Drosophila melanogaster: one gene and its partners. The protein of the gene in region 1 interacts with the protein of each later gene in a pairwise test. Each region holds a gene or a part of one and is shown in the gene's direction. Other genes may lie near its edges.

Evidence for each region.
Region 2: the proteins of fest (region 1) and CG8854 interact in a two-hybrid assay, tested with the Drosophila melanogaster proteins (one large-scale study listed by BioGRID).
Region 3: the proteins of fest (region 1) and Hip1 interact in a two-hybrid assay, tested with the Drosophila melanogaster proteins (one large-scale study listed by BioGRID).
Region 4: the proteins of fest (region 1) and TwdlM interact in a two-hybrid assay, tested with the Drosophila melanogaster proteins (one large-scale study listed by BioGRID).

Annotation. Positions count from the first base shown.
Region 1 is NT_033778.4:19,339,523-19,347,584, forward strand, and holds fest (wurstfest), read left to right. Parts: upstream 1-2,286; 5' UTR 2,287-2,561; coding exon 2,562-2,849; intron 2,850-3,045; coding exon 3,046-3,429; intron 3,430-3,490; coding exon 3,491-3,669; intron 3,670-3,731; coding exon 3,732-3,908; intron 3,909-4,042; coding exon 4,043-4,189; intron 4,190-4,259; coding exon 4,260-4,523; intron 4,524-4,701; coding exon 4,702-4,804; 3' UTR 4,805-6,232; downstream 6,233-8,062. Other genes in the region: Rgk1 (Rad, Gem/Kir family member 1), read right to left, coding at 6,531-6,575.
Region 2 is NT_033778.4:12,222,850-12,231,882, reverse strand, and holds CG8854 (uncharacterized protein), read left to right. Parts: upstream 1-2,572; 5' UTR 2,573-2,775; intron 2,776-5,036; exon of another isoform or gene 5,037-5,538; 5' UTR 5,539-5,539; coding exon 5,540-6,179; intron 6,180-6,638; coding exon 6,639-7,177; 3' UTR 7,178-7,422; downstream 7,423-9,033.
Region 3 is NT_037436.4:12,766,115-12,775,375, reverse strand, and holds Hip1 (huntingtin interacting protein 1), read left to right. Parts: upstream 1-1,802; 5' UTR 1,803-2,065; coding exon 2,066-2,101; intron 2,102-2,156; exon of another isoform or gene 2,157-2,632; intron 2,633-2,792; coding exon 2,793-3,214; intron 3,215-3,273; coding exon 3,274-4,004; intron 4,005-4,060; coding exon 4,061-4,170; intron 4,171-4,234; coding exon 4,235-4,981; intron 4,982-5,037; coding exon 5,038-5,473; intron 5,474-5,539; coding exon 5,540-5,944; intron 5,945-6,001; coding exon 6,002-6,489; 3' UTR 6,490-6,814; coding exon of another isoform or gene 6,815-6,865; 3' UTR 6,866-6,944; downstream 6,945-9,261. Other genes in the region: CG32106 (uncharacterized protein), read left to right, coding at 1-1,379; Vps13D (vacuolar protein sorting 13D), read right to left, coding at 6,815-6,865, 7,024-8,139, 8,197-8,691, 8,750-9,058, 9,117-9,261.
Region 4 is NT_033777.3:26,615,921-26,621,216, forward strand, and holds TwdlM (TweedleM), read left to right. Parts: upstream 1-3,197; 5' UTR 3,198-3,246; coding exon 3,247-3,261; intron 3,262-3,338; coding exon 3,339-4,190; 3' UTR 4,191-4,304; downstream 4,305-5,296. Other genes in the region: TwdlP (TweedleP), read right to left, coding at 4,742-5,296.

The DNA of each region.
Region 1 (8,062 bases):
TATATATATATATATATATATATATATAGTGGGTGAGTGTAATTCCATAGCTGACAGCGGGGCGGCATTATCATCTAGAGGCGACAACAAAGATCTCCCGCTGAATGACCAGACACATTTATTTGTTTACACAGCTCGGTTGCCGTTGCCTCATCTTGACAATCAATTAATTTCCATCCCGTCCCATCCCAACCGATTCCAACCCAGTCCATTCAATTCCCGAGCACCTCCTGCCCCCCAGTAGAAACTGAAGGGGCTGGTATTGTCGACAAAGGCAAGTGGCGTCGTTGGCGCTAATTGTTTTTAATGAAAATTGCTAAGGATTTAATAAGGAAGAAGGCGCTGAACAAATGGATTTTAAAAGCCATTTCAATTATGCCATAAGTTTCTCATCAATCTGAGTGGTCACCACTACCACTGGCACTGCCACTCACGCGAACGGTGACGTCAAAGATTGCAACACTGGCCAAGTCGGAGTCCTATGCACTTTCTATATATAGCCGCTACACTAGTATGGATTTTATGATCTTTGTCTGCGCCAAAGTTCACTGACTGCAGAAGGCGAAAATAGTTTTCCACATTTTAACGAGCTTCGGCAAGTAATAGCGAATTTTCTCTATTCATTTGGCTGATGTTCTCCTTTTAGTTTTCATATCAAATGTGCCTTTGCCTTTACAAAACGAGCGTAATTACAACTTGAATTCAAAATTTAGCAAACTATTCCAACGACGCTCGCTGAAAATCTGAATTTTCAGCTGTCTGAATATTTGCGAATATTTTTAACGATAAATACTGAAAAAGGAGGTTAACCAATTTGTTTCACTTGCGGCTGGCGAAAGTGACAACGGAAAAATCACTTCGGTGGACGGGGTGATTTTTACAAATGAGTTTCCGTATTTCATTGAATGCATATGCGATTGCATTCCTGCTATAAATATATTACACATTTTCACTTTCAGTTGGTGTTGCTCAAAACTGAGTCAATGCGATGCGTGGGCGGAATTGCAGCTGCAGTGGCTGAATTTTAATGATCCGACCAAGTGCCAAAAATAAAATTTAAAAAATATGCCAGCCAAGTGTCTAAATAAACGCGTCCATTTAAATAGATATGATGGCGAAAGTGTCAATCTAAATCTGCGTGGGCCGATGGCCAAATGCAAGGAGTCAATGCGCTCATTAAACAAACTAATCCGCGCAAGAAAAAACTGAAATCAAGAGGCAAAATCAATCATGAGAGCGGAAAGAGTTGACAGTCGTATACAAAAAACACAATAGTTCCGGAAGTTCAGGGACTTTGCACACTGAAGGTGAGTTAGTGAACCCACAAAAATGGAAATAAAACGACCTTGGGGGTTTGCCAAAATTGTGGCTAATATGTCAACATTCAGGCAAATAAAATGGCTAATAACTGACAAGAAAAACGATTGAGCAGCTATTACTAAAATATATTATGATTTTAGTGTTTATTCATTAAGAAATAATCCAAAAATTTGTAGCTGTTCGACTGGAAAGTTCTATAAGAGCAGTTTACATTTCGCAGAAACTTTAAATGCCAGTTCTTATTTAATATGTCAATTTAAAAGTTTCAGTTGAATGTATAATACATTTAAATTGCGTGATTGTTTGACTTTGACAACATATTTAAGCCACGTTAAAGCAACAATTTAGAAGGGGATAGCTTTTTATTAGCAAAGTACTAAACTGTGCTACGTGCAAACATCACTTTTATCTGACTCTTGACATTTCCTGCCAACGCTTCAAAACTTTGCAACTCTGCGCACTTGTTCAGCATTTAACCAGCATCGATAAGAATGACGGCACTTTCTCTTGCACTTTCTCCCGTTCGGAAAATGCAGTTTCCCAATAAATCTTAAAGCCTAAGTCTTTTGCTGCAGCTTATAGCTGCGTAGAAACTATACAAATGAGCGGCAATAAATTGCTGGAAGCTGCACTGCTGTGCGTGTGTTCAAGTCTATTTCTCGATTCAATTACGAAGGCGAAACTTCGTTTTCCGGCCACTAAAAGCGAGGAGATGGGTTGCACTACAGTGTCGTCCTTAAATGCGTTATTTTGAATTCAATCAGCTTTTTGCCGTCTAAAAGTATGCAGCACTAATCGGATATACGTTGAACTTTCACGGGAAATCTAAAAGTGCCAGGGCTTCAAAGGGACGAAGGGAAAAGTAAAGTATCGTGTACTCGATATTACGACACTTTCAACTATCGAAAAACCCGGTAGGCCAGTGAGTGTCAGAATTGATGGCACATCCTTCCATCGGCACTTGAGGCAAGTCATTCTTTCGAAAATTGTCGCAGCGAGCAGTGCTCTTGAAAAGTCATAAAAAGTAAAAAATTAAATTCCTCTCATTGAGTCGTTGTGTTCCGTGTCGAGCAGAGTACTTTGATTTTCGCTGTCCAGCACGCCGCGTGTGCCGTTCTCGTTTAGATCCACATACCAAAGTCCAGGCCCCGTTTCAACCAAGAACAACAACACCATCATCCATCACCCATTCGATTCCATACGGTTTTCCCATAAATTTTGAACAATCGAATCTTGACAAAATGGTTACCGACGCCCAGGACACCGTTGCACCTAAGACCAGCAGCACCAAGGAGGTGCAGTGCCAGCACTCCGGCGCCCTGGATGAGCCCCATGTCGAGGAGCTGGCTCTACCGGGCCCCGCCCCCTTGGCCACGCCCAAGAGCGGCCGCGTTGGCATCTTCAATGCCGAGGACTTCTTGTCCCGCGCCCAGTTGAACGACAAGATCAATAACATCTTGCGCTCGCCCACCAAGGCTCCAAATGGTGTGCGCCAGCGTTCCGTATTCACCAACAACAACCCATCGCCGGTGAGTAGAGTTGTCACTTCTCCATAGGATTGCCTTCATTTTGAAGGCATATGCAAAAAATCGTCTCTTTGATTTTTGCAAGTCATTTTTGCAAGTCATATTTTCTTAGCATTTTTTGCAAGTCATCTTTTCTTCCCATTTTTTGCAAGTGATCTTTGATGTACCATGTGATACCTTTTCCCTTACCAATCCCTAGCAAGCCACCATGCGCTTTGTGTCATCGATGAACAGCCCATTGGCTCCACGTATGAGCAGCCTTTCGCTGACTGGCGGAGTGAAGCGCGGCTTGGAGCGCGGCAACAGCAGCAGCAGCATGGGCAACAGCGCCAGCGTGGGCACCAGCACCTCCGTCCTGGCCAAGGAGTGCTCCAGCCAGACAAACAGCTGCGGCCGCAGCTACATGAATATGGGCATGCACGCATCTTCCCACTCGGGCTTCGGAGTCCTGCCGCAATCTGGTGCCGGCTACGAGACCATGGGCTGGAACATGGATGCCGGCAATATTACGCGCAGCGGCAAGAGTCTAACGGGACGCTTCAACTCTGGCTATGGCTATGAGGTGGATGGAGCCTACTGCATGGTAAGTGCTTTGATTTATTGCCCCGTGTTTCGTATTTTAGAAATATGCGATATCTACCTAGCCACAGGCACATCACACCCAGCAGTTCCCATCGCCAATGCCACCACCACCTTTTGCTATGGATCGCGTCAGCTCGCGCACTTTTGAGTTCGAGAACAACACACCACCACCGTGTCCAGGATCTGGACCGATTGCCATGTCCAATGGCACCATCCAGTTGCGCCTGCGCGAGGGCGTTCGGTAAGTGAACGTGGTAGGAGATTTATCCCTTGATCATCATTCCAAATCATTCCCGATTCCAGCATTGACATGACCCTGGACAAGGCTGTCCGTGTGCTGAATCAGCGCAGCATGGTTGCCGCCGCCTTATCGCGCAACTGCAGCAACTCTGCCCTCATCCATCCCAATGGGCGCATCTTGCAGAGCGGCTCCAAGGTGGAGATCGTCACCTACGACGGAATGAAGGCCAACAACTTTGTGTAAGCTTAGAAGTAGAATCGAACCTTTACTTTAAGAGTGGCAAACAACTAGTATTTTGGAATTTAAACTTGTACTTCTCATTAGATTTTCGTATAAAATCTATGCAACTATAGCTGCAATCATTTTCTTCCAGTCGCTATGCCAAAATGTGGTACAAGGGCGTTAGCTTCACCAGCGAGTCCTGTGCCCTCATCTATCTGGTGGACACAGCTGGCACTCGCACCACCACCGATACCTTCACCGACCTGACCAAGGACTACACCTTGGCGGTGTTCTATGAGTGAGTTAAGCACGAAATTTGCCCAAATCAATTCGCCAAGCTCCTCTTTCCAATTAACAACACCCTCCAGCGATTCGCGCCACGGCCCATCCTTTGTGTCCGATGCCCACGACGTAATCGCCAACTCCACCTACAATTGCGCCGAGGACGGCACCGAGGTGTATGACATCAATGGATTCCGCATCACCCAGGCGGCCGACGGCCTGGTCAAGGTCAGCCGCCAGCACAGCAAGTGCCTGATTCGCACCAGTCCGGGCAATGGATCCGCCACCCTGACCACCACCGGCATCCACTGCACGGCTTCGTTGGGCAAGACCTCGCACCTGTTCGTCCGGTGAGTTGGCCACTGCATCCACACCTATTTGCAATAATGATGCACTCGAAGAATGCATTGTTCTCGTCGTATATTTATTCGATTATAACACTGATAGTGTTTAATTGATTCCATACTTTTGCAGTAATTCAGTTAATCGGATATTTGAAGATTCCTTTTGTTCTTTTTTTTTTTGCAGTCGTAATGAGAAGCGCATGCACTTCGACGGATCCTGTTTCATTGTACGCAATGCTGGTCACTCGGCTGGATTCAATGAAAACAACCTGCTCATTGTCTACTAAGTACCGCTCGCACCATGGGATGTGCATCGCGTTGGGTGGCCATCCAAATGCCACCTATAGCCACCCAGCGTGGGCAATCGAAAATCACCCCATTATACCACCACCACACACACATCACAGAAAACACACACACGCAAACCGACTCAAGCGTCGATATAGTGACCCCCCCAAAAAAAAAAATCAAAAAATCCAAACAAAACAACATTGGAAAACTGGGGCCTCGGCGTGGAGAGGGATCAGATCATTTAAGAAAACCTGGTCTTCTAAACAAAAAAAATTATAAATGTATAACTGCATTTAAGATGAAACAGCTCGAAAAAATGCGCGAGCAACGAAAACTGGCGATCCTGATCCTTGAAGGATTGCTTTTCGATTGCTCGACGTAGGCGCAACGCAAACACTAGGGAATTAGTTTTAGATAATCACACTTACAATCTCTCTAGCCCTCGATATCCTTGTTTTTATACGCATACCGTTATTTAGTACAGGCAATTCAGGTGGAATAGGCTCTGGAAAATCCACCTGTTGCCTGAAACGCTGGCCAAGACAATGCTATTTCGATCAGGGCCAGCGTTTGGTGTTATAAAAAGAATGAACTTGGTTCGCGTTTCGCTTCTTTTCGGCCCTCACAGTATAGCAAAATTAAGTTTCCAACGATTTTTTAAACGTTCGACACGTACTTGAAATGCAACAAATTCAGCAAGATTGAAAATCGAAAGTTGCAAAATTTCCACAAAAAAAAAAAAATAAGCAAAAATTGATAAAATCGCTGATATCAAAATTAGCCTCTGCATGATAAAAAATTAGCTAACAAACGACGGCTGCTTTGGCCAACGTAACACCAGTGACAATTCAGTTAGTTCTAAGTTACCAGTTAAGATTAGTTAAGTTACTACAATCCAACCATGTTCATCCTCACACAACACACACACACTCTACAGCGCAAACGTTGCGTAAAATGTAAAATGAGTGGACTTAGTGCTTAAATTTCCAAGTGTAGACGGAATAGTACCACTACCACACTCGTGGAATACAGATACACGCACACATGCACAAGCACACACACACACACACACACACGACAGGCCAAAGTGAGAAATTGTGACTGAAATGGAATACAATTAATTAGCTTACGAAACAAACGCTTATCTGAAAAAGGCAGTCGTCTTTGAAAACAAAGTTAAAACACGTGCACACTTTTAAACACCATTCCTTAAAAAAAAAAAAGTGAAACGCCTTGCAATTATACCTGTGTAGCCTTACAACAACAATCTTCAAAACTCTAAATTTAATCCTCATGTATATCGAAATTTATGTGCACAAAAATCGATGTCAAAAAGTAATACATGAAAGTCCTGAATAAAGTAAATTCTATCTGCGCTACTGTAATAGATTCGTATAATTTTGTTAATTCTCATGGGTTAAATCTGGATCGAGATACAATTTTCAGCGGCTCCTGGCAACCATATATGACCTCATACCTTTCCTCTGGCATTGTAAAAGTACAAGAAAATTGCTTAACGACTACAATTCACATTACAACCCTGTTGGAGGAGTTGTGGCACCTGAAGGGCCATCAGGACTTGAAATCTTTTCGGGCTTAAAGAGTTTGCGAGCTATGTAAATATTTAAAGGAATGAATTGCACGTTTAAAAGTAATTGAATGTTTGCCAAAAAAGGTTTTCATATACAAATATTATAAAAGATGAGAGGTCTTCATGTTTACCTGCAAACAAATCCAAAAGCACAACGATATGGGATCGGCAGTCATGCAGACCAAGCTCTCCAACAGACTTAACCTGGAGTTGGAGCCGGAGGAGCGGCCCGTTGGCAGTGGCTGTTGATAGAGATTAGTGGATAATGCTGGGGCGGAACTATATGCCACGGCTGACTCTGTCATAGGAAGAAAGTGGTTCCATGGTTAGCGGGTACACAGAGAGAAATGGCGGGTGAGCGTAAGCGAGGCGGTGAGCATGGGCAGGTGCGGAAGCCACAAGGCAAGGATACTCAAGCGGCGGTGATGGTGAGTGTCTCCAGCTCAGGCGGATACAAACATCTAAAAATGCGTTTACTCTAGTGCTGCGTATTAAATAAAGTCGCTAACCGAACCCAGCAACCCGAACCCGGCTGAATCCTGAATCCGAGGTTATGTGGCTCAGCAGCTAGGGAGCCATAAAGGGCGAGACCCACACACACACATATGGCATATTCAATGCTCACGCTTGCGTGACTTGGTCGGAAAAATCCGTTGGATGGGAACGGGGGGCGTATACGGTGCCATTTGCCTCTCGCACCCGTGCTCAACATCAAACGCTTTTCACACTTAATTGGGCGTAAAATTAAATCAGAATTGATTAAAACACTTGAATGACAGCAGCAGTCGAAGCCAGAGCTCCGGTGCTATATGGTCCCGAATTTGAGAACCCGGCCAAAAAGTCTAAGCATAAACAAACTTTTTGGTTCCCATTTTTCCAGCTGACGCATGGCACGTAGCATCTCATCTGACCGAGTTTTCCACCCAAAACCCCAAACTCAAGCCCAAGCCACCCCCACCCCACTCCTCACCACCCATCGACATCCTCTCAAAAAGGACTAATTGCTGCCTAGAAACTCCTCTCTTCTTCCGCCTTTTGCCTTTAGAAAGTTTATCAAATTCAATTTCCGACAAAAGTTGGAATGGGCTGGATAGGCAAGACATCAATTTTTATATTTTACCATTTAATGGGCTCTTCAATTATGCGAGTCTCGCTCCACCGGTATTACGTTCACATTAATACAAATTCAATGAGGCTTAATTCCTGGCCATAAATCGTCGCATGGATTCGTTTCACCTGTCTTCTTCTGTGGTCATGCAGCAAATCAATTCGATTTCCGTCGAAATGAAAGAGCCATCGCATTGCAACACTGCAACTGCCGACGATAATTGCATTTTAACCGATTTACCCAGGAAAATCCCAAAACTGAACAGACGGCAGACAGTAAAGGATACACCCATTCGTACTGCGTGAAAATTCAGCTTCGTTTAATTTAATGGGAAACGAATGGCCCACGGGGGGTAAATGAAAAATTATGAATATTTACCCCTGCGGATAAGAGGCTTAAATTCAACCGGCAAGATAAACGCAAAATACATACGAATTTGAGTAACTCCATCTGTCATGGTGAGCACTTCATCCGAATCTCTATGTTCGGATGCGTAAGCCTGAGGTGACAGCAATCAAATCAATCAGACCAGCCACCTGAGCTGAGCGGGAGTTC
Region 2 (9,033 bases), 7.1 Mb from region 1:
GTTTGGAAAAGGAACCACAAAAAAGCGTTTTGCTGACACACCAAATGGGAAGCACACAATTACCGGCCATATTTCTTCCCTGTGTTTCTCTGCCATTCGGTCGCTTTCCTTTTGTGGGCCGAACACGTGCAAAATGTCCAACACGGTGGCCAAATGGGGCCAGAGTAGCAAAAACGCCATAAATGCCCAGGTCCACTTACAATTATTGCCCCAATGGAGGGAGTCGTCGGTGAGTTGCAAAAAAAAAGAAAGAAAAAAAAACAAAAAAGGCCGCTGCCACAGAGGCTGCCCCAGCTATGAAAAATCGAAAGTGGCAAGCCGAGTGACAAGCGTAGAGCACAGCGGTAAAAAGAGTCATGTGCTATAGGCTATAGCCATTCGATTCGATTCGGTTTAGATTCGGATTTGGATTGGTAGATAGGTATAGAGGTATTGGTACTGGTACTGCGACTGGTATTGGGCTTGGGTGCAGCGCAATCTGCGACTCAGCATCTGTAATGCTCGCTGCAGCTGTTGCCAATTCACATTGGTTGTGGTAATCGTAATAACCAAAAGAAACTGAAGAAATCATAAAACGTTGAAAGATGCATAGTATCACTCACTTATAAGTGTAAGGAATTCAAAGAATTAAGCTATATTACATGTAAATAGTTCTTCATTACTCATGCAAGATGTTTTCATATCTTTAGGATACATAGTATATCTTTTTTTGATGGCAAGCTCTATGGCAGTACAATTCGATATGAGGCCTACAATATCGATTGAAATCAGATATATGTACTCCTCAATCATTGATGTTACTACTTGTGCAATATTGTTGCCAATATGAAATAGCTTTGCAGTTTTTCCTTGCCATCACTAAGAGCATGTTGCAATGTCGCCGGTGCGAAGTATCTGATAGATAGATACCGACCGAAAGAGCCGAGCAAACACACACACATACGTATTGGAATTGGAGCAGAGATCAACGAGTCTGCCGCCAGTCAAAGGCAAACATCTGGTTGCGGCACCGCTCCCTTACCACCCCCTTACCATTACCGGAAAATGCATCACCACCGCCCCCCGCTGGGTGGCCAGGTGCAGCCGGTTTCCTGTGCGTTGGCAACGTGTGCTGCCCAAGTCCCAAAACGACGTTCGCCATTAAAAGCGGCAAATTGCTCTGGCTCCAGAGCCTCTGAATGGGTCCAAATAGTGCATATGTACCTATATTGGGGTTGGGATTCTACGGCAAGGAATGTAGGCCTGATGAACTGCAGGCTGGCTAAATGAACTCAATGGATGGATGGATGCCCGGTGAAGGCAACAATTTTCGAAGCTCTCGTGACCAGAAATCCAAATAACATTCGAAAGCTGAATGGCATGAGCTTGCAAGACATTTATAGATATATTTCTAAAGATATATATGTATATAAATACTAACATATGATAGGAATTTATATTTTTAAATAATTTAAGAAGCATAACATCTGCGGTCGCTGAGATTTCGCAAATCCTTTAAAATTCCCCAAACAATTATTTGTTAATTGCCTGCTTTTTTATCTGGTGACACATCTGACCACAAAGTGTGGCCCACTTGAGCTGGCTTAATTGAATTGCTTTTGGTTTGGTCTATGGGCCATCAATTGATTGTTTGCACTCGACACTCACCGCAATAGGAAATAATAACTGACCTGACTGAATAAACACCATAAATATCGGCACGACTTTGGGGATACCACACAAAAAACCAACCGCCACCGCACTGAAAGTGAAAGCTTTTTTTAAGGTTTTTTCAAACAATTAATTTTATAAATACCTTTTGGTAGCTAACAAAAAAAACTGCATAAATTATTTGGGCTTTAGCTGCTGGAGATGGGAAAAGTCTCGAATGAGAAATGATGCTCATCACCTGTTTTCTTTTGATGAATTCAAAGGCGGCGCACATTGCCCCACCCGAATGTCGGTTCAAGTTGAAGTTGAAGTTGAAGTGATGCAATTTCTCTCAGCAGCGATTTCAATTTCTTTCCGCAAGTGAAAAAGACTTGAACTTGGCAGCTGCTTTTTTTTTTAAACCACTTACTCTAGCAACGGCTATGGTCACTATGCGGTTAAGTTGAATGAGTTTCGAAAATGGGTGTAATATATGTTGGGTATGAATCAGCTTCTTTTCCTAAATGATGACAGTTCAAATTACAATTTCTACTTTTTAACTGAGTTTTTAGATACATTTCTTTAGAGCAACTTCAATTCGTTGTGTAATGAAGCCCAGTTTTGCTTACATATCTATGGCATTTCCCTGGCGCAGCCGCATTTCAACGACTCTCAAATTTGCATATCAATGTGACTTTGAGTAGCTCTGCGACTGTGACATAACCACCTGCTGTCATTTTAATTTACTGCTAATTAATTTACAGGCCGGCCGAAATTACATCTAGCCAAAGACATAAAGACTGAATGGGATCTCTGATTAATTTTGATGGAAATTGGCAAGCGAACATGTGAGGTGAGCTCAGACCGAGGATCAAACCCGTTCGAACATGCTGGCAGAGAAGCGCCAAAGACTTGTAACTTGGCTCAAACCGTTGGCCAAAACAGTTGAGCGCCGGTCGAAGAAGCGAACACAACGCGGTTGCGCATGCGCGTAGATCATGTGCCGATCGGACGTGTTTGAAATTTACAATTCACAAATTGGCTAAAAGAGCGTTCTATAACCATAAAAGTGCTCTGTGACAAGTGACCGACGGCATAAAACAAATTCAAATTTATAACCAACACCAAAACCAAATAAATAACAAGGTGAATGAAACTGCCCAGAAAACTGTGTCAAAAGCAAAGAAAGTTGCTATTTTTTTAGTGTGGGCAGGCTGCCAAGTATCTTTTTAGGTGTATCTTCAGCTCCGTCTGATGTTCGTTTTCAATCTTTTGCGGGCTTGTCGAGATTGAGTGATCATCTGCGTGGGTCTGTGCCACATAAATTCGAATGCATCTCAGGTGTAATGTAATGATCACCATTTTAGGGCACTACGCCCAGGTATGCGAGAGAACTGTTCTTCTCAGGTGATTCATGATAAAAACTTCTGCTCGTCTCGCATACTTTTTTCAAAGGTGCGGCAGAAGATGTGACTTTTTAAATTCATTTTACCCTGCTCTCGATTGGTTTGATGTAAATCCACAATTGGGCATGATATCACTCGAATAAATATTTATATATTTGAATACTTAGCAAGGTCGATTGGCATTTGGCAAACGTGTTTCCAGTTATTTTGCATTATAATCCGATGTCGAAATATTTACCTTACCTTTGCATAATTTGTGCTGAATGAGACATGGACAGGTTGTTAATTATTACCTTAATTGAAATATTCGGAGAAAACCAAAGTCAATCGAATAATATTATGGAGGTGGGCAAAATTTTGAGTAGTAAAATATAAATAGTGGAATATCTTACCAGTTAATATTTATAAAGAGTGTTTGTGGTTGCTACCTACAAACCTACATTTATCTTAAATAAGTTTATTTTTAGTATACTTAAATTTAATCTTTATTTAAATATCCCATTACGGTCATCCGTCTTAATAGCATTTAATAGCCCGGATTTGCACAAATATTGATAGTTGTCTTTTATTTTAAGCCTAACTCAGGTGGCCAAAACCACTATCAATCACCAAACACGCTAACAAGCCCGACTGATTACACAAAGTAACTCGACGCGAACTTGTCACATTTGATATGCAAATGGCCAGAAGCCAAAGTCAAAGCGGCACTTTACGCTGAAATGAATCTGAATCCGAAATTGAATCTGTATCTGAGGTTGACCGGGGCAATCAGCCAACCGCAGTGAAGGAGTGGAAGTGCCGTCCGAAGATGCCAATTAATTAACAGGGTCTTAGGGGTTTTAAGTGGTTCCATATCCACGAATGTGTTTGCATATTCAACTCTAATTGCGTCTAAACACTGCGCATGCAATTAACTTTTCACGGTAAAGGGCCACGTGGCGCATACGTAATGCGATTTTCACCCACCAAGAACATTTATTATTCTTATCAATTTATTCATCAGTTATCTAGAATAATAACTGGAATATCAAGTATAGAGTGCAGAATTTGTATGCCTACATTGTTTGTTTTGGATTGACTACATTTTGGAGTTCCTTTAAATAATAAATAGCTTAAAAAACAAGCCCTAAACCATTTTCACTCGCGTGCAAATCACTGAAAGTGCATTCAGATGGGCTTCTGTGTGCATATTTTGTTTTGTTTGGATATATGCCATAAAAAGTTTATAGACCCTGAAAGATACACAGATAAACGATTTCATTTGCGTGTCACAGCCAAGTCACGTTGTTTTATTTTTTTTTCGCGGTACAGTTTGTGTATTTTATAAAAAATATATTCCCATCGGAAACCTTTTTTCTTGATCAGGCCATACAAATGTTAATCGATAACCGAAGAGATTAAAACAAACCAGGCAAAAACAAAACCAACTCAACATTTTTATGCAAATGCACAAATCACAAATGCCTCGAAAAGATTGCGCAAAACCCTTTTTTGAAATGGGCGTTTTATATTGTAGAAATAATTAAGGGGAAAACCCCGGAGAAAACCAAAAGCCTATGTAAAATATCAGCCGAAAAATTTGCCTAAAAATTTAATTTAATATTTTTTAAGGTATTTTTTTTAACTTTGCGGAAACAGATGCATTAATATTAATATTTTCTGTGCCCATTCATGCTTTTCATTCAGATTTCGGTAGAGATTTAATCGAATGAAAGAAATGTGAACCGTTTTTCGCTTATTACATGTTGATATTGTCTTTTATGTTAAATAAACTCTGAAATGAATATGCAGTTAAAAAAAAACTGAACGTTTTTCATTTATTTAGTTTTACAATGGAAAACTCGGTGTATTTTAATTCCATTTCGATGGCACTGCAACTGACAAGCCTGATCGAAAATCTAGTTAACCTTCTCGACAAAATGGAAATTTGTGTATTTTTTGCATGGCACTTATTCCACTTGATTTTGTATCGCATATTTTTATAAATTTATACAGTTGCCGACGGGCTCCATTTCAGATTTTAATTAAATAGTTTTTTGTTTTTTTAATGAAATTTGATAAGTAAAGCAATTTGTTTTCGATGCCCGAAACGGGTGGATGGGTTTTTTGTTAGTTTTCCTTTGACGTAAACCAGTCTGTTGGCTAATGGAATATCTCGGCTTATTGGCAATTGGAATGCCAATTGATTGGCCATGCTAAGTTATGCAGATCCATAAACCGGCTAATGGTTGCAATCTGAAGTCGTGAAGTGTAACACCTGCAAAAGATATAGCCAAGCCGGTGTGCAATTTTAAGCCGGCATTAATGCCGCGGAAAATTCGCGGCCAACGCCGAAGAACGGGTTCGATTCGTTGACGGAAGAGTTTTCAGTATTGGCCACAAAGTGCGTTGCGTAAGCAACCAGTTGATGCACTTGCTCATGGCTTTCCCACACCACGCGCACCATCTCCGCATTTTCCCAACCAATATTTATGTATTTTTTCTTTGCCTTTTTTTCTTACAGCATGCGTGAACGCAGTCAAACGACCCCAAGAAGGCGACGAGCCGGTCCAAAACAGGCCTTACCTGGTGGCAGCTCCTCGGAGGGAGTGGGCGCCCTGGAATCCCCCTATTATACCATTGACAACACGGAGGATATATATGGCACCACGCTGCTGCCCTCGCAGCGCTGCTATGTGGATCCCTGGGATCTGGAGAACTATGATTATGTTCGCAAGAAGATCGATGATGTCACCGGTGGCGGTGGTGGTGATGGTGATGGTGAGGCAATTGAACCTGCCTACGGAGGTGGTGGCAACTCGCTGACGACCAGTCCCACATACGGATACGGAGTGGGTGCCGCCGGTGCGGGTATGGGTGTGGGCATGTCGGCCACAATGCCACGCCCCCACACCCAAAGTCGCCGGGTGTCGCGTGCCCAGTGCCAACTTGAGTGCTGTGTGCCCCAAAGGACTCGTCGCCGTAGCCGCAGCGCTCGCAAGGAGCCACTCTATACGGCCAGGAGCGATATTTACGGTGTGCCCAGCCGCTATGAGGACTACATGGCCACCATGACCAGGCAGTTGCACCTGGACAACGGCGAGGATGAGGAGCCGGAAGATCTTTACGGCGAGGAGCAGCGGCAACTGTACAATGGCTTTGGAGGTGAGTGAAAAACGCAAATAGCAAATGCAAATTCGAAACCCCTTTAAAACTAGATTTTAATTTAAAATTCCTTTTGTTTCGTAATAACCAATTTATTTAGTTAGCTTTGTATGCAAATCACACAAATGCATTTAGATTTCATTTTCGATTCCATTTGATTGTTACAATTTACGCAGTGCGTCTTTTATGGCAATTCGATTAACGTTTAATTGCAAATCTCTGGCAAAATCATTGATTTTTGAGCTTGACTAATGAAATTTGATTTTCTGTACTTGGGGATCATTAATTACTTAGTATTTGTTATATATTTTGATTACTAATCCTTTTCAAACTATATGTAAGTATAAATGTTTTATTGATTTTAAACCCATCGAGTGCTTAAATATAAATGTAGCTGTTGTAAAATACCAAATGATTTTGATAGCTTTCACTAATGCCGTGTAATCTCACACGTTTCAGGCTTCTCCAGCACCAGTTCCACGGAGCATCCCTCCTCCATTGGCGATGAGCAGCCCGTTCTCCAACGACGCGCGGCCACGATGCAACGCCGCTCCGTGCCCAGCGAGATGCAGCGGAGCACCAACATGGTCGGCAGCTATGGAACTGCCCCCCATCCGCGGCGCAAGCGAAGCGGTAAGGCGGCGCCCATGGCCGCTCCGCCGCAGATCGATTTCCCCGCACCGCCGCCACTTTCGCCCGCCTACGACTACTGTAATCCCTATGCTTCACTGCCGTACTGCAGCATACCGGATTGCAGCGAATGCCAGCAGCAGATCTATGCCGCACCCTCCGCCCTCTACGGAACCATGGGCGGCTTGGTGGGTGGTGATGGCAGTCGGGTTAGGGGCTCATCGCCCCATCATTCCAGCGGTGGTGACTCGTCGCTCTACTCGGGAATTTACGCACGTAAATTCGGACTGAGCAAGAAGGGTCTACTGCAGATCGACTACTCATGCAGTTGGAACGATCTGGACAGGGTGATGCAGCGCCATTACTGAGATCCATGGGGCCGCATCCACGTGGATCTGGGATTTGGGTGCTTGGGTTAGGCTAACTACCAACACGTTTGCACCAATCGCGAACAGAAACCTTATTGTTATTTAAGTCATTTTGCATTACAGATACAAACACAAACACATACACACACACACACTGAAGACCAAATAACTGAAACATGTTTGTCGTAGATATATAGTGTTTTCATATTCATATTTACCGAATAAACATTTTGAAGTCAAGCATTAAGGATTTGTAGTTATTATTAAAACTTTCAAGGTATGAAAGTTTAAACTTGGCTATATGGAGAAGAGCTAATAGTTCTCAATAAAACTTAAAAGTAGAGTAAGACTGAACATAAGATAGTTTCTTTATTTCTTATAATTATAGATTTGTTCATAATATTAGCAAAGTTGAAGTCACTAATTAGGCAAAGCATTCAGAAACAAATAACTTGACTTGGTGACAAAGAAAAGTTCCTCTTTTTCCACTCTAATTAGTTGTGACGTCACTAGGCGAATGTTTCATGTTTGACAAAATGTTTGCGGGGGGAGAAATGAGAACACGGAAATGGTTTTAGCGCCGGACTTTGATGAATGTTTTGAGAATTGTCAAGCCTAAGTTAGTCGAACAAATGGCAAATGCGGCAGGTGTACGAACGAAATGGGAAATAAGTGACAGCAGGAAAGTTTTTAAAGCACACCTTTCGGTGTTGAATGGTGGAAAAATCCATTAAACTTTTCGCCAGCAAAGTGGGAAATGCAACTTCAGCTCGATTATCTCGGCCGGAGGTGCACAAATACATGGAGAGCGACCTGTTCAAAAGGGAAAATCAATAAGGTAAATAAAACGGAAAAGATTTTCCTCTATCTCCTTTGCTCTTGCCCCCTATTTCTCGCCATCCGCCCGCCTGCCCCCTTTGCCGCTGAATGCGATTTCAATTTCTCAATCCAATTTACCTTTGCAACACTGTATACACATCAGTACACAGACAAAAAATTTGTGTTGAAATGTATTTCAACTATAAAAAAGCAAAAAAAGGCAATATAAAACTTTAAAATCGTGTCATATTTTAAACATAACCATTAGAAAAATTTCCAAAAAAAACCTTTTTAAAATTTGATGGCAATTTGATATTTAAAAATATAAAGTATTATTATATATATAATATATTTTGGTTAATGCACATGCAAACCAGTAGTTCCTACGGAATTTTAAATAAAACAAAAGCAAATTTAAAAGCCGACTTTTTGTTTTCAGTGTAGCAATTTCAATACCAACACAAACACAAATACGAACCAAAGTACAAACACAAAGCACAAGTAAATCATAAAAAGCAGCAACAACAAGCATCTGCAAAGCGAAAATCTGAATGCACAAAAAGAAATGGGGGGTGGTGAAATGTTCCAAGTCGGATGGAAAAAAGAGACATAAAAAATGAGGAGCTAAGGTTTTTGCTATGCACATAAAAGCGCAAATATTTGCGCAACATTTTCGTCGTCGTCGTCGGCGATAAAAATCGAACAAGAAAAATATGCAAAAAGCTGAACAAGCCGGCGGGGAAATAAAAACGTCGCAGAAATAAGCCGAAGAATATAAAAAATATATATATGTATGTGTATATTAGTGTGGGTCCCTCTTTTTTACCGGGGATTTGCCTTTATTATTGTATAACGTCAAACATTTGCATGCGGCGACGCCTAAATGTATGCCACACTTTGTTCACCAGCTGCCACACCCCGTCGAAACCACCCCCCCCCCCTTGATCATCTTGCCCCCCACGACCACTTTTTGCCACTTTTTGCATTTGCATTTATGTGCGGCGCCAATTCGAGCTGCCACGCCTCCGGCCTGCGCC
Region 3 (9,261 bases), on another chromosome or scaffold:
TCACCAGACTCAATACCAATCAATTTCAAATGGCACCAGCGACTACAAGACACGTTCGACTACAAACCCAGAAAACAAAAAGGACGAAGAATCGAAACTGCAATTCTTCTGTTGGCCAAATGAACGGTGTATTTGTTCTAGCTTCTTCGCCATCTACTAGAACGAATACAGCAGAGCAATCTATTGAAAGGAGAAATAGGAATCTGCAGAATCATCCAGGCGTTTCTGATTCTTTGAGTAACAATCCACCATCCTCAGAAAATAGACGAAAAGCCCCATCCCAAACATCTTACCCAGTACTTAGACGTATTCAAAGAAATGATTCAAACAATTCGCAAGGCGGAAGATTCATTTCGGCCAGCAGCCAATATCCTGACCAGCACAGACAAGATGAATACCTAGCTTGTGATAGAAATAATAGTGACCAAAGCCATCGCGATAGTCATCAAAACGAGGACGGGTCGCATAATTCAGCTATGGTTGGAGCTTCTGGGTATTCTACTGACTTAACTTGGACAGATCCACCTCCGAACTCCCAATTACTAGCTCCCAATACATCGACTGACGTGGAAACACTGGAAACGGTAACCCTAATGCAACCTCGAAAACTTCGTAGTTGTGAAAGTGCTGGGATCAGAAACCAGGCAAATATCAATGGGAACACCGTTCTTATAGAGACAAGAACTCCCTGTAACAGGGAAATTCTACTCCAGACCTGTGGACGACCGCCCTGTAACTCGTGTCCTTATCAATACACGGGTCTTCCTCCGAGTCTCCATCAAGGATTTACGAAGCCACCGGATCATATGCTACAACCGCAGATCTCTGTGAGTGCTCCACAAAATGTCACTCCTTTCGATGAAGGGTACCTTATAGATCCGCGGGATCAGTGGATGCCCACTAAGTCACCAGCTTCAGCACCAGCCGTGCAGCATCAATTTCAAATGAAGGAACAATGTCAGCCGGATCATGGATCCTATCATCATTTTCAGGAATCTGTACATACTTCAGACCCAAGTTCCTCTCAGGCCAGAAACCCTGACTACAATCCTCAACTAAAAGAGAACATTCGAATGCTTCCAGATGGATTCTATGAACGCACCGTGAATAAGTATAATATAACACGCATGGATTCCAACTTCCAGCCACCGGAATTTTCACTGCAGCCAAATTTTGTTCACGGAGAACAGCATCCTACTTTCAGACACCACGCTTGTCCTTATAGCAATCAATATCATCATCCGCAACTGATGATGACATCCGTTCCAGATCCCAATCGACGTTACATTCCACCACAAAACCAATACCCAGCCGAGATGTTTTGGCCACAGCAAAATGTACATTTGGATTACTATGATCAATCGGAATACCAAATTTAATCCAAACAGTTGGAAGAATACATTAAATTAAAATTACTTTAAAAACAAATTAAAATTGTCGTTCTTTTATTTAAAGTAAAAATATGGTAGCAGATCTATAAATATCGAACAAAATCTATCTTTTTAGAAAATCAGTACACAAAAATTTCAAAAACACATTCTAAAGCTTTTTTTTAAACCATCGTATAAAATCAAATTAAATTAAATTTTTAACTTAACTGAAGTTTTATTGAAAGCGTTCGATGTTATAATTTAAATATTGGTTCATTTAAGTGTATTTCAATTCAAATATCCTTCGATTTAATGGAAAAAAATAAAAATTTGCAAAACATTTTTTTTCGCGCTCAAAATGGTGATGCAAGAAGTTGATGACTATCGAAACGAATCGATAGGGTAAAGCCCGCATATCGGAACACCGCCCAGCTCTATTAACTTTTATCGATAAAGGAAAACAACATTTGTTTATATGACTAATTTACTCTTACACTCATTGTTTCATACACGCACACGATCGGAATCCGAATGAATACGAACGCGACCAATACGAAAACAATGGCCAACATTGTTGATAAGATAAGATAACTCCCGTTTCCAATGTCTTTGCTGTCTTTGCTCTAATGCACATATATCGCGCTGCGAATGATTCGAATTTGTTCAGCAAGTACGCCAAGAATTGTCAGTAAACAATGGCAACTCACGCCGAAAAGGAGTTCTACCACCTGGTACGTAAGCCCAAAGGAAAGCCAAGAAAACCGCCAAGAATACCCACAGCAGATTATAGGCACACGGATGTTGTCATATCATGTGCATAGTGTAAATACCTAAATGTTTATGCACACAACTACAGGCGCGCCGCTCAAATATGCATAAACATTTCACTTAAGAAGTCAGCCTTGAACCAGATTATATGGAACAGCTCGAAATATCATCAGCTTTTCACACGACTTGCAACACCACAGAGACTACACTACATGCTAATCCCAAGTTTCTCCGCTTCGGATGACCCAGAAAATTAGAAACTGCAATGAATGCTATGCGGACTACATCCACTTTGATCAATTGTTCAATGTGCACACAAAGGCCTTTCAAATTTTTTGATTATCAACCCAAATTCGGCACGATAAGAAGTGAAATCCAGTATTTAGATTACCTTCTGTTATCATAAATTCATATCAAACACATGGTGTAGGTGTTTGGAATCTTATTTTTAAAAGCATCGAAATGTTTGCACTTCCAAACTAAATAGTCGATCAGTGAGTCACCCCCTTTAGATCGAATTCCACTAAAAAGTATAAAACTATAGATATCGTCCGCCAAAATCCGTCCATATCTTATAAGCTGAGTCAGTCACTTCTTCGAAAGTGTACAACAATAAAAAGCCATTTAAACTATAATATTTACATTTCATTTCAGAACGTCAGCGTGTCCAAAGCTTTAAATGGCCTGGAAGCGCCACTCAAAACCAAACATGCCCGCTCCATTATTATTATGATACACAAGGCCAAAGAGGCCAAAACATTCTGGATGATCATCTCCCGGCAGCCTTTGATGCAGAGTAGATTTACTGCCTGGAAGTTTTCGCATCTGCTGCACAAGGTCCTGCGAGAGGGTCATGAAAGTGCCATCCGCCACTCGCAGAGCCACAAGAAGATGATACTGGAGGTGGGAAAAATGTGGGGCCTGCTGCAGGACGATATTGGATGCTGCATACAGGCGTATAGTAAGCTCTTGGCCACAAAATTAAACTTCCACGACAAAAATCGAATGTTTCCCGGCACCCTGAACATTTCGTTCACGGAACTCTTCATTGCTGTGGATAGGGATTTAAATTATTGGTAAGTAAAAATAGATATATATTACTTTCAAACTACTGAGACAGAACCATTGATTCCAGTTTTCAACTGTGCGTGGAAATTTTCGACTACTTGGAGGATATAATTGCGCTGCAATTGACGATATTTTCATCTATGGAAAAGTACAGAATGTCGTCGATGACACCGCAGGGACAATGTAGATTAGCGCCAATAGTTTGCCTTATCCAGGATTCCAATGCGTTGTACGATTTAAGCGTTCGGTTAATGTTTAAACTACACGATGGTGTACCATACGACGTTGTTTCCGGACACAGAGATCGCTTTCACGGTCTGTTTTTAAAGTTGAAGAGTTTTTACAACAACGTGCGACCGCTTCAGTATTTCAAGGACCTAATAACAATCCCGGAATTGCCGGACTCAAGTCCTAACTTCAAGTCCCAAAACGATTTCACCAGTTATGTACCGCCAGTGGTTCACGTTCCCCAGGAGCCCGATCCGGTTGTTGAAGACCTTGTGGATACCAACAATCACGAGCTGGAAGCCTTCAGTCAAGCCCAGCAGCAGCTTAGCATGTTGGAGGGTATAATCAGCGAGAAAGAGGCTAGCATTGAGGAGCTGTCATTCAAATTGGACGCAATGCAAAAAAATTTCGACGCACTGCAGCAAAGCTACAGACACGACGTTCAGGAGTTGCAACAGAACAATACTGTGCTGTCAAATGATCTGGTCTTGGCGAGAGAAATGTGTGCCACCTTTCGGATGCAAAATGACGATCTTGAGATGCAACTGAATCAGAACCCAATTCTTTTACGTAATTAAATGCTTATTAAACATAATGAAGTCATATAAAAATACCTTGTATTTCAGAAAAAGCTATGGAGGAAGAAGAAAAGCACAAGTTGTCGTCGGAAAAGTTTAATAAACTTAAAACTCTATACACAAAGATTCGAGATGAGCACATTCAGCTGCTGAGAGAGGTATGCAGAAACACAATATTTTCTATTTCCTATACTAATATTCATTCATATACTTTTATATCAGCAAAGTGATTGCAACAAGTCCTTAAATAAAGAGAAACAAGTAAACTCACAACTATTGTTGGAAACTAAGGAGCTTACCAATGAAATTTCCAAAATTAAAGTAAACGTAGAGGAAAAAGAGAAAACAAACTTGATTCTGCAAAAGCAAATCGAAGAGCACAAGGAGAAAATAGCACATCTTGAAGCAGTCAAAAACGAGATGAAGGAGAAATTCGATGATGTGGTTAAACAAAAGGAAATTCAGGAACTCGATATTATTTCCACTTCCGAAAACCTGAGGCTAAATTGCCTCAAAGTCGAAGAGCTTAATGGAAACCTCAATGACACCCTGGAAAAACTGTCGAACGCCGAAAGCCAAATAAATGCAAAGACCGAGGATATCGAGAAAATGCTAAAAGCTTTTGAAGCGGAAAAGGCATTGCTCTTAACTCAGATTGAACAACAGAGTGTTGAAAGTAAAAGCCATAGTGAAGCTCAAAACGCTCAATTGCAAGAAATAATGGATAACTTGGAACAAAAGGATAAAGAGTTCAATGAAGTTAAGCTTCAGCTGTCCAGCGCAGAAAGCCAAATCAGCTTAAAGGCATTGGAAATTCAAAACAATTTAAAGGCATTTGAAGCGGAAAAATCAGTGCTATTAACTAAAATAGAGCAGTTAGGTATAGAGCATAAAAACAACAGCGAAGCACAAAATGCTCAATTGCAGCTAACTTTAAACAACTTGGAGCAAAATGAGAGTGCATTACAGGTAAATGAAACCAATTTAAATCAAGAAAATTATAGAAACTGCTTTTCTTTCTTCAGCAAACCCAGGAAATTGTGAATCAATTGAGGCAGGAAAATGCTTCAGCGGGTCAGCGTAACGAGGATTTGCAAAGCAAACTCTCGCTTACTGAGGTAAAACTAACCCAAGCAACACAGCAAATTGATGCCGTGACAAGTTCGTACCAAATCTGTAGTACCGATTTGAGTGAACTCAGAAAATTGGTGATCAAGACTGTAAAGGAAATATGCAATTCGAAGTTGAGCGGATCGGAACAACAGCCTTTGGATGCGGTGCCAAACATAATACGCGAAATGGAGACCATTTTAAATAAGTTCAATAACGCATCGGCTATAAACTATGTTGCTTCAACCGAAGGACTGCAAAATGTTATGTATCTGGGTTATGTATTTATAAAACTATACGATCAATGTGATGTTATCTACAAAACAACAACTGCAATTGAGACAGGTCAGGGTAAGTTGATAACACTAAAAACATAACCACCTACAGCAAACTAACTTTGTATTACTTATTTTGCAGAAATTTTCTCAAAAACAAATTTGTTATGTACCGATATCTGTCAATTGTTCCAATACTTATTAAATAATGAAACAAAAGAACCCGAGAGACAGAAAACAATCACTGATATACAAACAAAGCTGAGAGATATTGAAAAGCTGATTGAGAAAATAAAGGCATCATTTGAACAGAAGATTGATTTAGATAAGCTGCTCGAAATCGAGCTTCGCGAGATGGACGCTGCGATTGATGATGCAGCCTCCAAAATTACAGATCTACTGGCAAAGGCTCGAGAGAAGGACAACCAAACCAATTTAGAGGTAAACGGAAAAATAGTGGATGCGTGTACCACCTTGATGGAATGTGTCAAAGCTCTAATCCAAAAATCTCGTCTCCTGCAACACGAAATCGTGGCTTCCCAAAAAGGTAGCTAACAATATTTTTTAATTCAATGAAGTTACTGACAAGTAATTACTCTTTCAGGAAATGCGAGTGCTAATGAGTTTTATAGGCGGAACAGTCAGTGGTCAGATGGTTTGATATCCGCCTCGAAAAGTGTGGCGAAGGCAGCCAACTATCTGGTGGAAGCTGCAAACAAGGCTATTGAAAGTGAATCTGGCAAGAACTTTGAACTCATTGTGGCTGCCCAAGAAATTGCTGCCTGCACGACCCAAATGGTTATTGCGAGCAAAGTCAAGGCTGAACGTAATAGTCAAAAGCTAACCGACCTCACAAAAGCCTCGCGAAGCGTAACGCAGGCAACAGGAACTCTGGTCGCCACCGTGAAGGATTGCAACTCCCAGCTGGAGCAGCAGAGTGAAATAGAACTTTCTAAGCTAACGCCATCACAGATTAAAACGATGGAAATGGAAATTCATGTTAAAGTACTCGAAATCGAACAAGCTCTCCAAATGCAACGACTAAAACTCTCATCGTTTCGTAAGGAGCATTACAAGAATGCCGATTATTAAATACCATATTTATTAATGTTACTAACTTTACAAACATTCTTTTTTGTATTAATGCCCGTCATGACAAATAATATATCTACACAATATTTACACTGCGGTCATTTTATCCTACAATGAATCCGTAATATCTGTTTATAGTATTCCGTGTCGATCGCTTTTTGATCCTTGATTTATATCACACCATAGTATGTGGGTTCATTATTTCTTAAATGTTTATTTTACTTACTACTTGAAATTAAAATAGCACTTATTGCCAAAGAAAATAAAATGTAACATTTGTTGTCAAAAGGTTTTTGTTTATTATCACGAACCGACCTATTGCATTTTATAAAACGGCATGTTCACGTTCATCAAAGACACTTTTAGCGTAGTTTATCTAAAAGAAAAAGACAAGTATGGAATATATGTGATAATCATTTCAAAATTTGTAAAAGTAAATAAATTATATGATAAACAAAGTCTGCGCTTCAACAATAATAGTTTATTATTGAAAGATAATTTCTACTAATTTCTGCTAAGATGATTTCTACTTACGCATCTTGATGCTGCCTCAGCACATTCCTCGGAACGACACCGTATCCTGGGCCTGGTAATCTTTGGAAGATTGGTTGATATCTCGATGTAGTGACTGGCCGACGCCCTGCTGCTCGTGGTTGGCGTTGTGCCGGCATTCGTTACCACTGGATGGCACGAAAGAATCTCACTAACATGACATTCAAACATAATGGTTGGATTGGCGTCGCTTAGTGAAAAGATTCGTACGTATTCTGTAGAAACCAGCAAGCGCAATCTAGCCTCCTTGTCGCTCCATAGATTGGGTTCATATGAAATTATCTTCTCCGAAAAGTTCTTTTGATTGATTAGGTACAGATATTGCTGCCCCTTGCTTTGGCGATTGGAATACAATGGCAAAAGACCACCAGGAGCACCAGTCACACATCTGGGTAGCCTTTTCCTTTCCGGAGCGTTTCTGTGACTATCTCGGCTTGTTTCACGAACGGCACTGGCAGTTTCCGATGCCAGGTCCAATACACCAATGATCGGTTTGGTGACAGTGCCTACTAAGCCCTTTCCCAATCCACTGAGAAAGCCAGGAACGCCATCGGAAGTGGCACCATCGTAAGTGTGTCTTACAATACTCGTTACTCCGCCCAGCAGTCCAAATCCGAGACCCTTCAGACCCGCTGCAAGGTGACCGCCGGATGTATTGGACTGCAGTTCCAGAATGCGTTGCCTCGTCTCATTGTCGTGATCATCCAGCACAACTTTTCCCAGGCTATCGGACAGCGTTTCTGTTAGCTTCGCCGTCGAATTCGATATGCCATGCGTAACATTTTTCACCAAACTCTTGACGGAGCCCTCAAAAATCAGTCCGGATACTCCTTCCGAAAGATCGTTGGCAAATCCCAATGGATTACCAAGGAAATCGACGCTGCCCAAAATTGCAGCCGCATGCCATTTGACTTGGTTGATGTAGTGCTTCTTCAGCTCCTTCCGATAAACGTCCATCGTCTCAAAGTGCAATTTATCCGAATACCTGTCGAGTTCAATCAAGGCATCTTCGAATTTTATTAGAGTGAGTCCAAGTGCCTTCTTGGTTTCATGCAACTCCACCGGCAACTTTGAAGAAGTGAATGCTGAAAGTCGAACCTTTAAAGAGAAAATTGAGTTGTTTAAGACCATTAAGTCTAGATTTTAAAAAATTACCTGAGTTGCGCCAATACTTAAGTTCTCAAAATAGTATCTCTTCATATCCTGCAGAAAAGGCTTATCATCCGTGTTCTCGAATTGGTATTGCACACTTAAGTTCTGACGGTTGATCTTGCCGTAGCCCAGGAATGAAGCCACTTTAAGTATCAGCTTCTCCTCCAGACTCGCCGTTGAGGGTTTCAAGTCCAGAGTTAAGTACTTGAAAATGATTGCATTCTTGTTGGGCGAAGGTAACATTTTCAGTTTGAGAACAACTGCATTTTGTGTTTCTTCAAGATCATTCGAAGTTTGCGTGTGCAATGCAATCGGACTCACAGCATCCAGCAATTGATTATCGATTTGTATATAGGCAATATTCAGATCTAAGGAATTCTCCAAAGCACTCTGTACAATATCACAATTTATGTGATCGAGGCTGATGAACATGATTTCCTCACAAGGCTTGCGAGCTATGATGGATATGCCGATTCCTTTAACAAGCTCCACATTAATCTAAAATGATATAACTCTTAGTTTGTTATACGTTAGATTTTTTCATAGTCTTACTTACCAAATACTCATGCACGAATGATACTTTTCCCTTATCCGTAATTTGCCTATTATTCAGGGAAGCATGCATCCATAGTAAATCGGGAGTTAGGAATACTGAATTTTGTTTAATTTTAATATCACATATTTCGATCGTGGATATGGGTCCATCCATTTTCGTCGAAAGCTCCAGCTGTCCCGATCCAGGCCTTAGTTTCTGTGCAACAATGTGTTGTCCAATGGGTATTTGTTTACTCGAACTTGCCCTGTTTTCCGTTCTGCCCACGACTGCCTCATAGTTGGGCTTCAGGCCGCTCTCTCCAAATCGAGACTATAAAGTAAACCATTTTAGATTAAAGGTTATCAATAAAACATAAAGAAATCCTTACCTGTACGCACATATTGGCATGGCACATCAGCCGTCCATTCTCAAATCTCCATGTCTGCGTTGTAACTCTTTGCTTATTGGGTGTTCGGACCACCAAGTTGGTGAACTCCATGGGATTCGGAGCCTTCTCCAGATCGAGTACAAGT
Region 4 (5,296 bases), on another chromosome or scaffold:
ACTATATATATGCATGTTGGCTGCGCCCGGTTCGCTGTGGGCGTGGTGTATCTGTAATTAGTGTTTTGCACACACATATTCATATCAAATGCCGGCATAGTCGCTGCTTAATAAATTAAACGACAATTTGCACTGGGACCGTGCTGTTGCTCGTAAAGAGTCCGGGATCCTGAAAACTGGGACATTAAGCTGGCATTAGGCAGAGGCAGGCCTGCAATTAAAATAAAATGGAGAGCTCAAGCGTCGACGACAATATGCACTATAAGGCAGACAAAAATGTGTTTTTTACTGCGCAGAATGCGTACTAAGGAGACCTCGAAAATAATTTATTGCCTTCTTGTGGGTGCCAAGGATCGCGCAAAAAGCCGCAAATTTATTTGCCGCTCTTATCGCTCTATCCATGTAGAAATAAAGCATAGAGCATATTTTTTTAATATTTTCTATATTTTTTCCTATTGTTGATTTCTTATGCCATTTTCGGCTGATGTGCACAAACAGAAATCTCTTGTATGGCTAACTTTTTAATAAATAATCTCGGCCATTTAGCTGGTTGCAAGCAAAAAATACATAAACACGCAAAATAATAATCAGCATCTGTCGTCGTTGCCGTTTGATTGTCAATACAAAATATTTATATCGCTAACACAATTTGCCAAACAAATTGGCCAGCTCGGCGAAATTTGATTTGATTTATTCCTTTCAGCACTCTCGGATAGGTTTTTTAAAATATTGCGTTTTTTTAGCATAAGCTTTAGTTTAGTTTCCATGGTTTGGTTCGGGTTTTTGCGCTTGAAATAATTGATATCGGCTATTTGCATATCAGATTTAATATATTTGCATATATTTCTTTTGCAAAAGAGAAACGATTTTGCGGCAAGCCAGTCAGCTTTTTGGGTAACATTTTTTGTTTTTTATTTGTCGCCAGGCATGCGGAAATAATTTTGGCAACTAAAACTCGTATCTAGAGAAGAATAGAAACGGTCTGCTCGTAAAAGAGTTCGAAAAGCCGGCAGCTCCAAACATTTTTGCAAAAGAAAGGCTAGAAGCAAACAAACTCGTTTAACTGGGGTTTAACTGGCAAATTTGTCGTTCGTAAATAAAGCTTATGATTTAAGGAAATTACTAATGCTCCAATTTATGGTGAGGCGACAGATTTGATTGGATTTTTGCACCTGAAAGGCACCGCCCGGTTTTGACACCAGCCAGGTGATAGCCGAATAAATTAAATGCACAATTTTATTCGTTTCGACATTCTGGTGGGTGCCAGTACAATGGCAATAAAATAATATAGGGGCAGTCTTGTTGTCTCGAAGAGAGAAAGACTAAAAATAATGGATAAAATAATAAACAGTGTCAGATTTTGTAAATAGATCGATTGACCCAAAAGGCCATTTACATAAAGTGGTGCCAGAAATTCCCTCCCGTAGATGTTTTTTGTCCGCTTGAGCCGTTTTTTTTTTATTTATTTATTGATACGCCAACGTCGTCCGACCGCTATTATCTTCGATTTCGTGCTGGAAACTCTTTTCCCGCGTTTTGACCACTTTTTATGTCGCTGCTGCGTGCATCTTTTATGTGCGTGTGGCGCCCGAGACCTTGAAATTGTGGCTGGGTTGTTTTATTATGCTTACATTTGATTAGTTTGCATATGACATTGCCACCAGCGACTAACTTGGCTGAGATGCTGGCCAATCGGCGAGCCGCAACAGTTGGCAGTGGGCAAAAGGTGGGGCCGCACACAAAGCCAAGACAAATTGTTTTTGACTTTAGGTTATTGCTTCGAATGTGAATCTTAATTGGATCCCGGCCAGCGTGGAATGGGGGGCATCATATAGCATCATTAGATATAGAACCATATAGAACTTGTGTGTGTCCGTCACTGAAAATGATATCATGGTTGTGATGTCTTAGCGGATTTCCTAACTGACCCCATCTTCGAGTTACTCATCGCTATAGTTATCCGTGATATCAATCAATATATATATTAGTCATAACCGCGATTGGCATTCGCCACTATTGATTTGCAAATCGGTTCGGCTATCTTAAATATGGATCTTGGGTATTTCTCCTAAATTATGCAAATCAAATCAGTTTTCAGCGGATTTGCTGCTGCCTCTACCCCCCTTCTGCTCGAAAACTTTGCCGAAATAAAATAAAAAACCATAATTTTTATGATATCAATAAACCATGATGAAAAACGTGATAATCGCTGATCAGATTAAATGGTCGCCTGGCGCCAGCTGATTACCGCCGAATTCCGAATAGCTTCGGGTGCTGGTCAACAGTAAAAAACCTCAAGGTCGCAACGGTTGTTAGCTTTATGGCTTCTATTTTGCGAAGCCGTGTTTTTGCCACAGGTTAAATGGCCAAGCGACGAGCTCCGGACAAATGGACAGATGGGCCGTCGGATAGATGGACGGATGAATGAATGGATGCGCAAAAAGGCTGGCGAAAATTGATTTCTATCCATTTCAGATCCATTGTTTTTCAACCCTACCACAGTCCACAGTCCAGTGTTCGGGTTTTATATGGCCAAACCCTAGAGCAGCCAGTTCCATACACCATACACCATACACCATACCATACCATATACCATATACAATATTCCAAATACCAAAGGGGGACGCAATAATCGCTGGGGATTCCCAGCTAGAAATATGCGGCTGGATCAACTAAAAAGTGTAGAAAAACCGAGTCGTTTTCGAACTCGTTTGGATGCTCCGCTAAATGTTTTAGCATACAAAATATGAAGAAAATCATTTCATTTACTGAAAGCATGACCATTTATAGTAGTGGCTTTTGCTAAACGAGTTTTCAGCCGTTTCCTCCGCCGAGAGCCTGCTCTATTGGATTACAACTTGACGGGTAGGGTCGTGTGCCTAAAAATTTTCGATGATGGTACTACGACTTGGACTGAGGGATCGTGGAATTAGCATAATGTCGACGCCAACATTTGCAAGAATAGGGCGGCCAGGTATCGATGCGCTTTGTTCACGTCGGCTTGGCCATTGTTTTATCGCACAAGCTTCGTTTTTCGAAGGTGGATAGCATTTCAAGAGACAAAAGCTGCCGAAGAAGTTACCAAAAAATGCTGCGGAGCCAACAAATACAACGATGGTAAAGTCTGCATGAACTTGAGCGCAGTTTAGTGACACCGATCGTTGGTTTTCGTATAAATATTGGACCTTTCGGTGATGCAAACGTCAGACACAACCAAGTGGTCAAAGTCAAAGAACTAAATTCAAAATGCGTGCCTTCATTGTAAGTATACGTTCGATCGCCGACGAAATACTCCAAAAGGATACCAAGGATTACAATGCTGTTTTCTTTATCTCCAGGTTATGTGCTTGGTGGCAGTCGCCTGCGCCGATAAGCTCGGCTACAACTACCAGCCCGTGGGACACTCCAGCTCCGGACTGTCCTTTGCTCCTGGAAGTGGCAGCATTGGAGGTGGCTCCATCGGAGGAGGCAGCATCGGAGGAGGCAGCATCGGAGGCGGCAGCATCGGAGGCGGCAGCATCGGAGGCGGCAGCATCGGAGGATCCATTGGTGGTGGTTCCATTGGAGCCAGCATCGGAAGCGGTGCCGGTCTGGGTGGTCTGAGCAGCATTGGTGGTGGAAGCATTGGCAGCATCGGAAGCATTGGTGGTGGTGACGCCCTCAGTGCCCCCGTCTCCTACAACGCCCCTGCCCCAACCGCCGAGCTGGAGAAGGAGTTCTTCACCTTCACCGCCAACGAGCAGGACTTCGATGAGCCCCAGCAGCTGGAGCGTGTGTCCTCTGCCCTGAACAAGGCCCTGCGCGTTGTCTTCATCAAGGGACCCGAGAACCGTGGCCTGGAGAACGCCGCCCTGGCCCTCGCCAAGCAGGCTGCCCAGCAGGAGACCGCCATCTATGTCCTGAACAAGCAGGCCGATATTGGAGATCTGGCCAACAAGCTGAACGCCATCCGCAGCAACAACAACAACAAGCCCGAGGTGCACTTCGTCAAGTACCGCACTCCCGAGGACGCTGCCAACGCCCAGCGCGCCATCCAGGGTCAGTACGACCAGCTGGGAGGATCCAGCCAGGCCCACAACGGTGGTGTTGCCCCCGTCCTGAACTTCGCTTCCGCCGCTCCAGTGCGTCAGGCCGCCGCCCAGAGCCCCGACAACTCCTACCTGCCATCTTCGGTCTTCCGTCGCGTCTAAGTCGCTCGTTTCACTCCTTTCGGAATCGAAAACGCCAGCGATTTTTGACTGATATTAAATCGTAGTTTTTGTTGACTAATGCTTAAATAAATTCAATTCTTAAATTTTAAAACCAATTTGACTTGTTGTAGTGCATTTGTAAAAACCAAAAAACTTTGCAGGCTGAGTTCATTGGGAACGAAACTTCGCAAGTTCGGATTTATTTGCAGCGAAATATTTTCTTGCAAACTTTGAAAGCGCACATAAGTAGAAGCACTTATATATTTCTTAGGAACTAGTTTATACTTTAACCATATTCAAAATTTAATACCAGTTTATGGCTGCTGAGATCTTGGGTTTTGAACAAGTATTTTTATTTCTTCTTTCTTCTTTCTTTCTGTTTTTATTCGATTATCGCTGCTATAAATAGGTATACAATTTATTTTGAAAACTGTTGCATACTTATGTTGCTTTCGTCAATTTTTAAAGGAATTAACCAAATGAAAATACAATAATTTACATAACCAAATTAGATAACTTTTATTCGAAAACAACGTTTAACAATCGATTTTCTAGTGACGCAGGCGACTCAGGATGTTGGCGGGTAGGTAGTTGCTCTGGGGCACCTGTTGAGGAGTAACGCGTGCTGGAGCAGCTCCCTGGGATGCAAAGTTGATGGCATTAGCCACGCCACCGTTGATGGACTGGCTGGAGCCGCCGAGTTGATCGTACTGCGATTGGATTGCCCGCTGGGCATTGGCAGCATCCTCAGGTGTCCTGTACTTGACGAAGTGCACCTCGGGCTTCTTGTTGGCATTCTGGCGCACGGCATTGAATTTCTGGGCCAGCTCGTTGATATCAGTCTGTTTGTGCAGCACATATATGGCAGTCTGCTGCTGGGCCGCCTGTTTAGCCAGGGCCAAAACGGCATTCTCGTAGCCACGGTTCTCCGGCGACTTGATGAAGATGACGCGAATGTTCTTCTTGACCGAGGCAAGAGCCCTCTGGAGAGCAGCCTTATCCTCGAAGTCGTCATCGTTGGCATAGAAGCTGTAGAACTCCTTGTGAACTGACGCCTGGGGAGCGGCACTATAGCTAACTGGTCCCGCCAGTGCAGGGACTGGGGA